Neurospora crassa OR74A: one gene and its partner. The main gene of each other region encodes a partner of the protein of the gene in region 2 in a complex. Links are inferred from orthologs where the notes say so. Each region holds a gene or a part of one and is shown on either strand. Other genes may lie near its edges.

Region 1 (3,371 bases), on a different chromosome or scaffold from region 2:
TGACTGTGCCGGTCAGCGCTGGTTTTGATGTTCATAAGAAGGAGAGAGGGGGGGCTGGAGTCGGGGAGAACATAAGTAAGATGAGGGATGGAAGTCGGTCGGCAGCGGTACGTGTGATGATGGCGTTGCATGCCGGTCCGCGCAGCTCGGGGCCTTGGGCTGCTGTAAGTGGACAATGGGAAGCTGCGGTGCTGGTGCGTGAAACAACTGTCCAGTGACAGCCCGAGTGCTTCACTGCAGTGGTCTTTTTGTGAAGCCGGGGGATACTGTGATCTGCAATGCAGGGTAGCACCTGAGGTTGCAGTCGATGGAGGTAATTTCACCAACTGCCCAACCTTATTATCTGGGTGCGGTGCGGGCATTCTGACTGCAGCGCGGGTCACTACACCGTAGGATTGACCGCAGCCAGACGACACAACGAACTTGTACGGCAACGGCAAGTGCAGTAATGAGGCATGTCTTGGCCCTGGTCTTCTTCTCGCGCTTCCAGAAGGTCGTCTTCAGAACGGAAGGAAGCACCGCCATGTTCAAGAATGCGGGCTTCGTTTGCGATCACATCTTCGACAGTTCATCGGGTCTTTCACTTTTGTCACATTTCAGTTTGGTGTAACAAGGCGCTACCGGTTATCGAGCTCCCGATGCACAGAATCTGAAACCGCCATCGGCAAGTCGTACCTAGTCACCTCTATCCGCCCTCGTCATATCGACGTTTGTTTTTCTTTTCTTTTTCTTACTTTCCTTTCCTTTTTTCTTTTTCATTCTCAAGACGGATAAAAGACTGGACATGGCATGTTTTGAACGGGTAGGGTACGTTGGTTTGCTGCACCTATTTCATCATTGTCAGCCAACGACATACTACCTCGGTCCCTGCGCCGCAAGGCAATCCAGGAGCAAACAAGAGGGTTTTGGGACTCCCTGGACAGAAAAGATATTTCTTGGTCTCCATCGCAGCTCCCTGCCCTGGATCCTCGTGAAATACTCCCAACTCTCAGTCTAGGCACCACTCAGTACCCGCACCCAATATCCGAGCCATACTATCACTAATCTGAGCTTGCGATTGGCACGAGTTTTGAGATTCGATCTCCGCTCCCACGCTGGCACTCTCAAGCGAAAAGGTGGGGTGGTTTACTGCAAGCGGTTAAGCCTTCCCGCCCAGCGATCCCTGGCAGCGTCCAGGGCCCGAAACGGCCACACAGAGTGGGAAAGTGGTTACAGGATTCGTTTTTTTGGAGACGCCATTGTCCCCCCTTGCCTGTGACTGCTTTGATCACATTCGGGGTTTCCATTAAGTAAGATCCAATGTGATCATCCAGACCAGCCGGCCACTCATGGACGAATTATTTGTTGAAGCTTGTTGGTAAGGGAATGTGAGAATCATCTATACACACTGTTCTTGCAATTGAGGTTGAAGTGAAGGTCATGATGCCCTCATCATCTATTCATCTGATCTGGAGGGACAGCACCTGGATTCAAGGTTCAGTAAGTATAATTGCGGGTATGTAATCGCAAGGCAAGTTTTCTGACCTGAACCCGAACGTATGTACCTACGTAATGTTCCGTATTCTGCAAGCGTACGTAGGTACCCGTGTCTGCCGCTGCTTCTCTGTCACTTCATGCCAGGTTGCTCGCGTCGTTACAGAGAAGGCGCTGCCAACAAATTGTACGCTCAAACGCTGTATTTGAGTTACCATACAGCAACACAAACCCATTTCTTCCACGCCAACCATCTAACGATCCAACCATATCCCGACCAACAACCAGCACAGCCCGATACATTCCAAACCACGTCGCATACGACATTGTTCTCAGAGCATATACCCAAAAGGCCAACTTGATGAGGGCTACGGCGACATAAAAAAATCACAGGACATTTTGCCATCCCGCCAGAAACTACAGCTATTCAAGATGCCGAGAGCAATCAGAGGTCAGTATGGATTCCCATGAAATACCATATAAATGACGTGTACATGGGCTTGTCTAGTCAAGACTCATTCATAAGCAACAGCACAGCACGACTCTAACGCAAAACAAATACTCACCCTGCTAACACTGGTCCCTGGCTCAGGTGTACTCATCCAGTGCGAACCAGCCATCAAGTCCATCATCGTTCACTTGGATAGTGTTAACAACGATATCATCATCGAAGATCTTGATGAGCAGACCCTGGTTGTTAAGGAAAACATGGTGCAACTGCTCAAACAGAAACTCGAGGACGTAAGTCATATGCTTCCCCTTTGCTTTGTCCAGTGTGACCGTTTGGCCCGCATCGTGAACTAGATATCATGTCCGATTATATCACCTTCCTCTGGCTGACACTTTCCTACCTACAACAGCGCCTGAAGGAAACATACAGGCCCGAGGAACCGCTGGCAGATAGTGACTAGGAGTTGCCTAGTAAATAGGAGACGCATACGTAGTGACTTCAAGTCGCTGAACCCCCCCGAATTACATGCATTTATTTATACACCTTCAACACTGCGTAGCAGTTACCAGCCTGCGATGGACTACTTGATCCTCTTTAAAGCTTTGAAAAGACGGGCTTCTTCTTCTGCACACTAGCCGATAACGCGTCCATCATATCTCTTGATTGCAAAGCAGCCGAGTTCCAGACGGTGGTATACCGTAAGCCTGTGTCAAAATTATCAGTTTAGCCTTTCCTTCACGATAACGAGCAACGAGGAGGAAGAGAAACCAAGAAAGGAAACGTACTTTCAGAAACCGAATGGTCCCTTGCGTGGTTCAACAACTCCTTAGTTCCCTGTACAGCAATCGGGCTCTTCCCAGCAATCAAGCCCGCCAGCTTGATCGCCTGATCCAGGGCAGCCACCTTGCTGTCGAGAACTTGGCTGACGAAGCCGACCTGTTGCGCCTCGGTCGCGCCAAACTCTCTTGCCGACATGCATACCTCCTTCACCCACGAGAAGTTGCCGACGGCCTTGGGCAGCCGGCTCAGCGTGCCAATGTCGGCGGCCAGGCCGATGTCGACCTCCTTGACGGCCAGCCGAACGTCACGCGTGCAGAGCCGAATGTCGGCGGCGCAGGCGATGTCGATGGCGAGGCCGAGGGAGATGGCGTGGAGGACGACGATGACGGCTTCAGGGAGTTTCTGTAGGTTAGCAAGATTCGCATGCACTGGTTCATTGGCTTGACGTATATATATCACCCTGGGTAACGAAGAGTGACAAGTCGGCACAGTCAATACATACGTTTCTCGCACAATTCAATAGCCGAAATGCTATCCTGAAATTCAGTAATGTATCTTCTCAACTGGGCCGCCTTGCGCCCGACGTCGAGGGCGCCGCTCGACTGCAGCTGGTTGTTCGAGCTGGCCGCGTGGATGTCCAAACCCGCCGTGAAACCCCGGTCACCGG
Region 2 (4,282 bases):
CAATCGACACCAACTAACCACCTCCATCAGTATCCATCCCTTCCCCCCTTTTCTCTCAAGTGGGTTCCGATCACTAATCATCACCGCCGTGTAGAGGAGGGAAGAGGAGTCAGTTAAAGTTCTGACGGCCACAGCAGCGGCGTCTAAAACAAGTTATAAGTACCAGCCCGGCTACCTACCTCTAGGTAAGGTACCTACTCACCTCTGACAGCCGATTTGATGCAAGTAGGAGGCGTTCGGGGAGTCGATTCAAATCCTCCGTCCTCCCTCCCTCGCCCCGATCTAGACTCAACGGCAGCAAGGGCGCGCCTACCTATCTACCTACATACACCCATCACCACGCACCCACCCTGAGTACCTCTGTGTAGATATGGAAGTAAGTCCGGGGCGAAGGATCGCAACCGCGCGGCGGGGTTTGGGAATCCTTCGGAAGTCTACCTACTTGGAATTGGGAACTTTGCTGCTGCTCCAAACCGGCGGTTAAGTAGTAATGAGCAGACAAGCGCCGCCGCCGCGATTTGATGAGCCCCGTTTTTCTTCCATCGTGACAGTCGCTGCTCGTATTCACTCATGCGCCAACAACCGCCGGTGGTGGCATACGAGAGTCGGGGTATCAAAGTCACCACCCAAAGTGGAATATGTACCTGGCAGTCAGTTGACGTTCCATGAAGAGTGGTGGGTGACTCCCGAGTCGATGTGGGAACTTTGAGCTCTTGGATTCCAACAACTACCTACGGGACAGCCACATAAAGGTTATGCTGAGATACTGCATGTGTGACTGAGAGATATGAAAGTGTTGAGGATCGCCGTGGTACTCCACGGACGGTATTGAAGTGAGAGGTGGAATTAATCTATTTGCTCCCGATCGTTGATTTCAAGCGTCTGAGATGATGAGGTTTCTCCCTTCTTGCAGCTTGTTTTGGCGCTTTCGTTTTCCCGCTACTTTGAAGGACCTGTCTTTCCATCGGTCGTTTTTTTAATCTTCCTTTTGAATAAGACCCATGGACTGATAGATAATCGGCAAGATGGCGATCCTTCGTACTGAGCGCGGAAGTACCAACACTGATAGTTATCGTATAATCCGAATCCGAGGAAATTCCAAGTCCGCCGATTGCTGTAGACTTGAAGCATTGCAATCACTAAGAGAAGACGGACTACCTCTATCAGCGCGGCCTGTGCACCAGTTTTTGAGCATGGAAGCGAGTGTGCGCAAAGGAAATATGAATATAGAGGCTGCTGAGGAAGTGGAAGTGACGATGAAGTTGTGGTGTTCCAGTCGTTTTTGAATGTGAAGGCCACAGTGCAATTGAACTATGAGAAAGACTGTGCGTGTGGGGGGTCCACACTCACTGCAGTCAATCCGGCATCAGCGGGCCGGCAACAAGCGTGCCGGACCGGCAGCAGCTCACCGTAAAAGTATCACCGTACCTGACCTTGTGCCAGATCCGGATTCCCAGAAACAGCACATCATTGATCCATCAAATCCACCGAGATCCTGTCCTGAAGCTGATCGCCACAGGCCACCGCCAGGCAACCTTGGCACGTGCTTTCTCGACTTCACAAATCTATACAACAACAAGCGCAATACAAACAGCCATAATAATAGAGATACGCGGTCTAGGGGAAGACCTGAGGCTGCATACTTGAGACAAGGGAGGAGGCCCCTTTGAATACCGAAGAACAGACGAACGACTGCCCCCGCCAAGACCCAAGATAGAAGCTCCAGCGTGCAGACACATGCCAAAAGTTGACCTCGATTTCACGACTTCTCGCTTCTCACCAAACCAAACATCGAAATAGAACATCAAACGACCATATTAAGCATCAGCCCTGTCGCACTTCTCCATCCGGACACCCGCGTCGATTAGATATTCTGCGACATAGTAAAACCAGCAAGAACATTCATCAACGTTGCTGCTGCCCGCGCAGCCATTCGTAATTCCTTCCCTTTGTCCGTGTATCCAAGGCCGTGATACTACACGCCCACCATGGAGTTCAACATCGAGTAAGAGCCAAATCCGAGATGACGCGTTCGCGTTCTTGGTCTGTAAAAAACCAGATAACTAACTTGCCGGCAAACAACAGCGATCTCCCAGTTCTGTTTCCTTACCCAAGGATATATCCAGGTATGTGAGCTCATCCACATTGGTACACCATCACAAGTGCTGACAGACCGACTACACAGAACAATATGCGTACATGGTGGACTTGAAAAGTGAGCATTCAACAAATAGCTCACACTCATCACACGTCCACTGACCACCACCACTCCCCACAGAAACCCTCGATGCAGGCGGGAACTGTGTCCTGGAAATGCCTTCGGGCACCGGCAAGACCGTCACCCTTTTGTCACTCATCGTCGCCTACCAGCAATACTACCCAGAGCACCGGAAGCTGATCTACTGCTCGCGAACAATGTCCGAAATCGAAAAGGCCCTCGTTGAGCTGAGAGCACTCATGAAGTTCCGAGCCGAGCGGCTGGGGCACGAAGAAGAGTTTCGCGGTCTCGGTCTGACAAGTCGAAAGAACCTGTGTCTGCATCCCTCGGTCAAGCGGGAGAAGAGCGGTGCCATTGTCGACGCGAGGTGTCGCAGCTTGACGGCCGGCTTCGTCAAGGAGAAGAGGGAAAAGGGGGAGAATGTGGAGACGTGCGTCTACCACGACAATCTCGACCTTCTAGAACCGCATAACTTGATCCCTAACGGAATTTGGACACTGGATGGCCTGATGAGGTATGGCGAGGAAAAGAAACAGTGTCCTTATTTCACTGCCAGGAGGATGGTAGGTCTCTTCTCAACACCCCAGGATGCGGATGTAATAGCTCGAGATGCCATACATACTAACAGCTCATATGTAGATGCAACACTGCAACGTCATCATCTACTCCTATCACTACCTCCTAGACCCCAAGATCGCCGAGCGCGTGTCCAAGGATCTATCCAAGGACTGCATCGTCGTCTTTGACGAGGCTCACAACATCGACAACGTCTGCATCGAGTCTCTAAGTACCGACATCACCCAGGACTCACTGATGAGGGCAACCAGGGGTGCTCAGAACTTGGAGGCCAAAATCAGCGAGATGAAGGACTCTGATCAAGAGAAACTTCAGTCCGAGTACGAAAAGCTAGTCGAAGGACTCAAGGGTCTAGATGAAGGGCGACAGGAGGATGCTTTTATGGCTAACCCAACACTACCCGACGATCTGCTCAAGGAGGCTGTCCCCGGCAATATCAGGCGAGCCGAGCACTTCGTTGCCTTCCTCCGGAGATTCATCGAATACCTCAAGACCCGCATGAAGGTCCGCCAGGTCATCTCCGAAACACCACCATCCTTCCTCGCCCACCTGAAAGAATACACCTTCATCGAGAAGAAACCGCTCCGGTTCTGCGCCGAGCGTCTAACCTCGCTAGTACGGACCCTCGAGCTCACCAACATTGAAGACTACCGGCCACTCCAAGAAGTAGCCACCTTTGCAACCCTCGTCGCCACCTACGAAAAGGGCTTCCTACTGATCCTCGAGCCCTACGAATCCGACACGGCCAAGACCCCGAACCCAGTCCTGCACTTCACCTGCCTCGACGCCGCCATCGCCATCAAGCCCGTCTTCGACCGATTCAGCTCCGTCATCATCACCTCCGGTACCATTTCCCCCCTTGAAATGTACCCCAAAATGCTCAACTTCGAAACCGTCGTGCAGGAATCCTACGCCATGACCCTCGCCCGCCGCTCTTTCCTCCCCATGATCGTCACCCGCGGCTCCGACCAGGCCTCCATCTCCACCTCCTTCCAAGTCCGCAACGAGCCCAGCGTCGTGCGCAACTACGGCAATCTCCTGACCGAGTTCGCCCGCATCACGCCCGACGGCATGGTCGTCTTCTTTCCCTCGTACTTGTACATGGAATCCATCATCTCCATGTGGCAAGGCATGGGCATCCTCGACGAAGTGTGGAAGCACAAACTCATTCTGGTCGAAACCCCAGACGCGCAAGAAACCTCGCTAGCGCTCGAGACGTACCGCACCGCCTGTTGCAACGGCCGCGGCGCCATCTTGCTCTGCGTCGCGCGCGGTAAAGTGTCCGAAGGCATCGACTTTGACCACCAGTACGGCCGCACCGTGCTCTGTATTGGCGTGCCCTTCCAGTACACCGAGTCGCGCATCCTCAAGGCCCGCTTGGAGTTCCTGCGCGAAACGTACCGCATCCGCGAAAACGACTTTCTCTCTTTCGACGCCATGCGCCACGCCGCGCAGTGTCTGGGGCGCGTCTTGCGCGGAAAAGACGAC

What was found.
Region 1: NCU01625 (region 2) and NCU06646 share a complex: the UniProt entries of both Saccharomyces cerevisiae proteins name them as parts of the 7-subunit TFIIH core complex. The link is inferred for Neurospora crassa OR74A from reciprocal best matches to the Saccharomyces cerevisiae genes RAD3 and TFB5.

Annotation. Positions count from the first base shown.
Region 1 is NC_026505.1:4,109,091-4,112,461, forward strand, and holds NCU06646 (RNA polymerase II transcription factor B subunit 5), read left to right. Parts: upstream 1-1,680; 5' UTR 1,681-1,905; coding exon 1,906-1,924; intron 1,925-2,065; coding exon 2,066-2,214; exon of another isoform or gene 2,215-2,333; coding exon 2,334-2,384; 3' UTR 2,385-2,518; coding exon of another isoform or gene 2,519-2,628; 3' UTR 2,629-2,709; downstream 2,710-3,371. Other genes in the region: NCU06647 (enoyl-CoA hydratase/isomerase), read right to left, coding at 2,519-2,628, 2,710-3,093, 3,207-3,371. UniProt on the Saccharomyces cerevisiae protein: Component of the general transcription and DNA repair factor IIH (TFIIH) core complex, which is involved in general and transcription-coupled nucleotide excision repair (NER) of damaged DNA and, when complexed to TFIIK, in RNA transcription by RNA polymerase II.
Region 2 is NC_026502.1:2,932,136-2,936,417, forward strand, and holds the start of NCU01625 (DNA repair helicase RAD3), read left to right. Parts: upstream 1-1,468; 5' UTR 1,469-1,988; coding exon 1,989-2,005; intron 2,006-2,085; coding exon 2,086-2,126; intron 2,127-2,185; coding exon 2,186-2,215; intron 2,216-2,278; coding exon 2,279-2,781; intron 2,782-2,857; coding exon 2,858-4,282. UniProt on the Saccharomyces cerevisiae protein: ATP-dependent 5'-3' DNA helicase.